2 linked regions of the Arabidopsis thaliana genome follow. The protein of the gene in region 2 interacts with the protein of the main gene of each other region in a pairwise test. Each region holds a gene or a part of one and is shown on either strand. Other genes may lie near its edges.

Evidence for each region.
Region 1: the proteins of AT1G07400 (region 2) and HINT 2 interact in a two-hybrid assay, tested with the Arabidopsis thaliana proteins (one large-scale study listed by BioGRID).

The regions. Positions count from the first base shown.
Region 1 is NC_003070.9:11,121,945-11,126,317, forward strand, and holds HINT 2 (HISTIDINE TRIAD NUCLEOTIDE-BINDING 2), read right to left. Parts: upstream 2,277-4,373; 5' UTR 2,163-2,276; coding exon 2,128-2,162; intron 2,050-2,127; coding exon 1,942-2,049; intron 1,865-1,941; coding exon 1,778-1,864; intron 1,608-1,777; coding exon 1,460-1,607; intron 1,250-1,459; coding exon of another isoform or gene 1,203-1,249; coding exon 1,085-1,202; intron 1,004-1,084; coding exon 936-1,003; 3' UTR 660-935; downstream 1-659. Other genes in the region: AT1G31150 (K-box region protein (DUF1985)), read left to right, coding at 1-133, 313-468.
Region 2 is NC_003070.9:2,273,102-2,276,422, reverse strand, and holds AT1G07400 (HSP20-like chaperones superfamily protein), read right to left. Parts: upstream 1,498-3,321; 5' UTR 1,276-1,497; coding exon 802-1,275; 3' UTR 640-801; downstream 1-639. Other genes in the region: RABA2b (RAB GTPase homolog A2B), read right to left, coding at 1-153; RLP1 (receptor like protein 1), read right to left, coding at 1,769-3,321. UniProt on the Arabidopsis thaliana protein: Cytosolic mediator for sorting and targeting of nascent chloroplast outer envelope membrane (OEM) proteins to the chloroplast. Functions as an AKR2A cofactor to facilitate the targeting of OEP7 to chloroplasts.

The sequences.
Region 1 (4,373 bases), 8.8 Mb from region 2:
GAGAGAGATAGAGAACCTTGAACTGAAGCTTCAATTGTATGGAGGACATGGTCTGAATAATTTAACCTACGACGAGCTTCTTCATTTTGAGCATCAACTCGAATCTTCTCTCCATATTGCTCGAGCTCATAAGGTATATAATATACACACTCTAGGATATAATTATTTAAGCGACATATATATTAGATATTCATATACAGCATGTACTTTGGTATAAAATAGTTTTTTATAAGCACACACATATCCCAAATTTCACAGTTTTAGTGGTTCATGTCTCTTGTTTATTAATTATGTAGTTTTGAGTTCATGCAGCAGGAGCAGCAGCAACAACAAACAGACAAGCTTAAGGAGAATCTCATGGTGTGTCAAAGGCACGAAGATGATGACATCATGCACCGGCAAGTGAAGAAGGAGAACCCACCGGCGTTCTTCAGCTCCTCCCGCCGCCACAACCAGCCCCAAGACTAGGACAACAACTTCTCCCTATCTAATAACAACTTAAGCAGATCGACCCGGTTTGGTTCAGCTTACCAGACGGTTAATTTATTACCGGTTATTTTCTTTGCTGACTTTCTAATGAACATGTTGACCATGCTATGATAGCTTTCTGGTTTATATTAAAAGGTTTTCTTTAGCAGAAATTAACCAAACCTGTGTTCTGTTGTGTTCTCCTAACTCTCATTAATATGTACAGATCCATATACGATAATTGTAGGAGAGAAACTACTCATATCATATAAATTGTTAGTATTTATTTCTAACAATGAAAAAAGAAAAAGAATTCGATAACAATTGGAAATGGAAGCTATCTAATCTCTAGGAATTCACAACTGGATAAAATCCGATAGTGGTAAAAACTCATAAACCATATAAGAAAGGATTGTAGTTGACAATTTTGGAGCACGTTGGCTTTGGGTTGACATGAATCTTTCTTCTTAACCGGGTGGCCATTTCATCTGTCGGCCTCCGAGGACGTGCAGATGAAGATGGTAAACAGATTGGCCTGAATGAGAGGAAGTTAATTCAGTCATGTGTATGAGGACGATGATGCTTAATTGGATGGAAAAGAAAAGAAAAGACTTACAGGCTTCAACACCGTTGTTGATAACCACACGGAACCCATCAAGGATTCCTTCTTTCTCAGCAACAATCTTCGATGCATGTAGAAGTTGGCCAAGAACCTCTACGTGTCTTGGTTCAGCCTGCGACGGCGGTTCAGAGGAAGATATGTTTCAGGTAAAATCTTAATCTGTTCCACCAAAATAATACTTTTAACTCCTTTTTTAGTGTGGGTGGCAGCATTTACATATATTGACCAGAAACAGTGGCACAATACCATGATGAAACGCGTTACTAGTTACAGAACACAATGATGAGATTCTTTGAGACCTCTAAGAGCAAGACCAAAGGAAGTCACGAGAAGAAACAGATTGAATGTTAAAACATAAAACTGACTCACCTTGCCAAGCGAGGTCAAGCCATCTCTCAACTTGGGAATGACCAAAACATGAACAGGAGCCTGAGGGTTAATGTCTCTGAATGCCAAAACGTTTTCATCTTCATAGACAATATCTGAGGGAATCTCTTTTGCTATAATCTTGTCAAATCTAAAACCACAAGATACACATACACAAGAGCGTCTAGCATAAACTTCCACGAATCACATCCAAATCAATAACGAAGAATTAACTAGGTCACATATTTGAAAGATTAGGATCATTTGTAGCAAAAACACAAACATGGATTGCTTTGAAATCAAAATTAAGAGAAACCATACATGGTCGGAGCTCCGGTGTCAGCAACAGAAGCCGCAGCTTTCGCGGCGGCTTCTTCATTATGAGCAGCACGAGTAGAACAGATCAATCTACAGAGCGACTAAACCAAATCAGGTCAATTACAATAATCTCCATAACAAAGACAATATAATAGAGAAACTATAACCTTTTAGAACGAGTATAAGGAAGAACCCTAATCAATTCTCCGGTGGAGAAGAAGATCCTCGAAGTCACACGAACAGATTGAGCAACTCTTCCCACCGTAGAGAAGTTCCTAAAAAACGAAAAACCTCAACGGCATTAGCAAATTCAACAACCAATTCCTTATTTCTGTATCGAGAGAGAGTTTCACCGAAGCAGCAGCATAGAGGAAGAAGTGACAGCCATTGAAGCTCTCTCTGCTTCGATTCGCTAACCGTTTCGATCGATTTTTCTTACGACATTTTCAATCAAACGACGTCATTTAGAGATTATCAACATACGTCGTCGTTTTAACTCTTTATTAATGGGAAATACCGAAATGGAAAACTAAAACGTCTAAAACCACCAAGAAGAATGTCAATGCACACACACGTATATATAATCCAAGATACAAATCTACTTAACGGTGTCCAACTTCAAATTCACAAAATATTTTTTTAGTCAATTAGTTGGTTATTATTAGGTCCACATTCTCACTGGATCTTCTCAATTCCGAATTCAAAGCTTTTTCTCAACTCCAAATGTCACCCTTGAGAGACAAGTATCCTTCATGCTCATTGATGACTCTTCTAACTATAGCTTTGCGTTCAACATGTTCACTATTCCTACCCATGGCCAAGCCCTTAAAAGTTAGGGAGATTTTGAAAACTACCTTGTTTTTTAGTTATTATTTGAAAAATACACTTTCTTTATTTTTAAAAAATATTAAAAAATTTAATATATAAAATAACAGTTTTGTCCAGATTTAAAACAAAAGCTGTTTTCTTGATAAATTAAAAAAAAAACGAAATTTAGAAAAAATAAAATAAAATAAATATATTATGTTGTTTATTTTTCAAATATTTTTGAGATAAAAATAGTTTATTATATTTATATTAAAATTTAACAAAATGATATCTAAAATAGTTTTTAGTCTATCACTTAATAAAGTTTATTTATTTATTTGTTTTGACGAATTTTAGTTAAAAATATTTAAGAGAAAAATTATCTTTAAAATTTTTAGTTGCATCAACTTTTAAATTATGGGTTTCTTTTTATTTTAAGTTCAAAATAATTTTAATTATTGCTAAATTTTAGTGAGCCTAGTTTAATAATTTATATATTAAAAATTTAATTTTTAGAAAAGAAAAAAGGATAGGGTATTTTTCAAATGAAAGCTCATAAAGAGATTATTTTCCCAAATTTACTGTGACAATCGCACGTTTGGCGTTGAGTCTTTCATTCGGCGGCTCCACATGTTCAATAGCTACTGATTAAACCATCAAAATCGAAACACTAACAAAAACAGTAATCAGTTAGTAATATGTAAGCAAACCATTTCTAATTTAACAAAGGAACTCTACTAGTCATCTCCGACAAATCAAAGCTATGGATAATTATCCATTGTCACATTTTTCAGTGTAACTTTTCATAAATTAATAACTTAATTTTTAATTTATAGTTGTGAAAAGTTGTGTCTTTTTACGCGACTTTACTTTATTTTATTTTTTGTTATACTCAAAATTGTATTTTACAGTCATTAAAGATATTTTTGAGAATTAATTGAAGTTATATATGTTCACTTAGAGTTGTATATTTTTCACTATGTTTTATTAGTGTTTCTATTATCTTCAATAATTATGTCCCTTACCAACAATTTTGTCTATTTAAACATTCATGTCTTTTTAAATTTCTATATATTTTTCCTTTTTTGAGAATAATTGTGTATATTTATTATTTCCTTTTTATAGAAAGTTGTATTCTTTGGCTACCTAATATTCATGTATATACTTTGTCATCTACAGTAGAAACTTTATAAATTAATACTTGATAAATTAATAAACACAATAAATTAATAAATTATGTTGGTCCCAAGTCGGGCCAATGTAAAAATTAAACAAAATCGATAAGATAATAATTTTTTTGAAATCTCTATGTAAAAATATGGTCCCAATAATAACATAAATTAATAATCAAAATTTTTAAGATAATCTACTATAATATGAGTCCAGTGTTGTTTGTTGTCTTTTCTTAAAGTTTGAATCTTGTTGAATTTCATCTGTAATTTTCTTTTTATTGCATCAAAAACTCCGGGTGATATCTTCTCAATATGCATCCAAAATTTGTGAAGAGTTCTAGATGCGAAAATTGGTTTCTTACGTGTCACTATTTCCAAAAGTTTCTCATTATCGTCTTCAACTTCTTCACCAACATTATAGACATAAATAGCAATTTCTTTTAAAAACTCTAAATTTTTTACTATGATTCATTTTTACCCGAATAGTCGAGTAAGCTCTTGACATTTATTCTATTCTGAAAGAATATAGTGTTATATTTTGCTTAAATATTTCTATAAATTGATAAATATTAATTTATTAATATATAAAATAAATTAATATCACTATAAATTAATAAAAT
Region 2 (3,321 bases):
GGTGGCGAATTCGACGCCAATGGTGGATTTGGATTCGAGACAGAACTCGTTTCTGGTGAATCGAGAGAGAATGTTGGATTTACCAACACCGGAATCGCCGATCAGGACGATCTTGAACAAGTAATCGTACTCATGATCTATTCTATTCGCCATTGCTTCTCAAATCCTAGCGTCTGATCAACCTACGCATATACACATTCACGTCAACATCGATCGAAGAAACTACAACTAATCATCGTCAATGAGATCAAAAAGCAGCAAATCGAAACCCTAGAAAATCGAATTTTACCTTTTGAGCAAGCCGGAAGGATCGAGAATGGAACAAATGTTTTTTTTATATATTTTGTTTCTGTATTTCTCTGTTTCCTTTCCTTATACGTTGCGGGTTTTGTGCCCAAGAGGTGAAAACGGAAACTCCCTTTTATTTAGTTTCGAATTTTGAGATTCTTTTTTTTTTGTTTACCACGGAAGAAATAATTTCATTAAATTTCAACTTTTTGTTATAAGACTTTGTTACAAATCAGTCATACCAAAACTAAGATCAGATTATGCAAATTGCATATCTAAATTAAAAATTCAACCTTTAAACTTAAGTTTAGTTGGTCCCATCCGAGTTAAAATCGAATTTACGGCTAAAATCTTCAGAAAAAGCAATTGAAACGAGAATATAAAGGCCTTGCTTAATTATTAGGATTAACAGTTATAATACATCATTACCAAAACACAGAGCCATATTCAAATCAAGAGCCATAATCAGAAGAGTCTTTACGCATAAACATGAAACCCATAAGCTAATTGGCTTTAGCCAGAGATATCAATAGACTTAACTTGAGCCTTCTTCTTAGCCTCTTCCACTTTAGGCACCGTCACAGTCAGAACTCCGTTCTCCATGGAAGCCTTGACTTGATCCATCTTCACATTCTCCGGCAGCTTAAACTTCCTCGAGAATTGCCCGCTCGACCTCTCCACACGATGCCACGTGTCCTGCTTCTCCTCTTTCTCCACGTGTCTCTCTCCACTGATCTTGAGCACACTGTCGTCCTCTATCTCCACTTTAACCTCCTCTTTCTTCATCCCCGGCAGATCGGCCTTGAACACGTGCGCCTCCGCCGTCTCTTTCCAGTCCACACGTGCGTTCGTTATCGCCGATGTTTCTCCGGAGAGCGACGACGGGAATTGCAGTTCCTTGAATGGATCCCAAACGTCGAGTGAGAACGGGTCGAAGATGCTGTTGCTTCGCCTGTTGTTGCCGAAGAAGCTTGGAATAAGCGACATTCTCGATTTGATTTCGAAAGCGAAAGAGATGTTTGGAATGCTGAGATAGCTAATTACGATTTTCCGGCGAGTTCGATTTCTACTTCTGAGCAAAGCTGGTGACTCGGATGATGTATTTATAGTGGTGAACAAGAAATCTCCAGAGCTTCTAGAATTTACGGGTCCCAAACTTCTTTAAACTTCACACGAAAACGATGAAAAGATTGGAAAACAGAATCCAGAAAACTCTAGAGTCTACTAGTAGATGCCTTTCAATTTCAAGTACAGTACGACTCTATTCAGCCGTTATGCGTTTTATGGGCTATAATGGGCTCCTGAGGCCCAAATATTATGAGATAATGTTTAGAAATTGAAACTGGTATCATGTATATATTTGACATCGAAGACATATATTTTGTATACAAAAGCTTTTTCTCATCTAACTTGGATCAACTAAGAAAGCATTTTAAGACTGTGTTATTCCAGTGGTGTATACCTTGGCTAATCCACAGAATCAGTTGCAGACTGAGGAACGCTTGAACTGTAGAATATGATGAACGCATAGATCTACACGATAAAACCATTCTCGGGACCATCGTGAGTCTATGTAGAGGAAAGCAAACAATGCCAAGGATGTAGATATGTAGACTGCAGCACAAGTCCAGTAAAACCACACCATGTCTATCACATTACCTTCTTCTTCATTTTCTTCCTCTTTGGCATGCGTTGACACACTTGGTGGCTCAGGGACTCTCTGGGAGATGCAATTTTTATTTGTAGGAAGTCCACAGAGATGAGCGTTGCCTATGTAACTCCTCTCGTCAAAGGTAACAAGATGGCCTTTGAAAGGGATTTCACCTGATAAATTGTTATATGAGATATTCAAGTATCCTAAACTGTTGAGATCGGCTAGCGCAGGAGGGATACTTCCATCTAGCTTATTGTTGGATAGATCAAGACTCTCTAAGCCCTTCAGCTTTGAAATGCTATCTGGTATGGAGCCTGTGAGGCGGTTACTTGACAAATTCAGGGACCTGATATTCTGAAGATCTCCAATCTCGATTGGAATTTCACCCGATAGTTCGTTGCTCGACAAATCCAGACCATGCATATAGCGGAGAATATCACCTTGATACGCCTCATATCTGCTTTTCGTTAAAAAATCCACTACGGTTGCTGGTTTTGGTTGATAACCATTCCTGACACCATCATCCAAGTTAAGATGTGATCCATATTGACAATGTGGCAAGAATGTAATGTATGAGAAGTCAAAATCTGCAACAAGTGACATGGTACGGTCATTCTGCTCTGCACCAAAAGACATTTTACTGAAACATGATGGTATGGGGCCTCTGAATTGATTGTGAGACAAGTCTAACAGACCAACTTCACTTAGCTGACATATTTTCCCAGGGATATAAGTTTGAAAGCTGTTATTCCGTAGAAGAAGAATACGTAACTTAGATGTCTGGTCAATAGTGTTCAGTATCTTTCCAGAAAAATTGTTGTTCCGCAAATCAAGCACTTCTAATCCCGCAGCCTTGAATAAATTTCCCGGAACTAAACCCGTAAACTCATTGTTTTGTAGTCTTAGTTCTCTGAGAGATGGAAAATTCACATTCCTTGGTATCGAACCAGAGAAGCTATTGTGTGAGATGTCCATAACCTCAACCCAAGGACTCTGTCGTAGAAAAGGGAAAGGACCTTTTAGCTGATTACCACTCATGTATAGGTAGGAAAGCCTTGATATCCTACCAATCCAAAGTGGAAGCATGCCCGAAAACCTATTATCTGATATGTCTAAAAGAGTAAGATTCTTTGACTTCAATAAACCCTCTTCAAGACTCCCAGTAAAATTGTTGCCATCAAGAAAAAGCCCAACTAAACCAGTAAGATTTGCATGCTTCGAAAATATTTTCCCCTGTAATTGATTGTTGGAGAGCTTCAGAACCCTTAGCGAGTAGCAACCACTTAAAAACATAATAGGTAGCTGCCCATATAGACCATTAGAAGACATGTCCAAGACTTGTAGGCTTTTCATCTCCCCAATCGAAGATGGTATAGTTC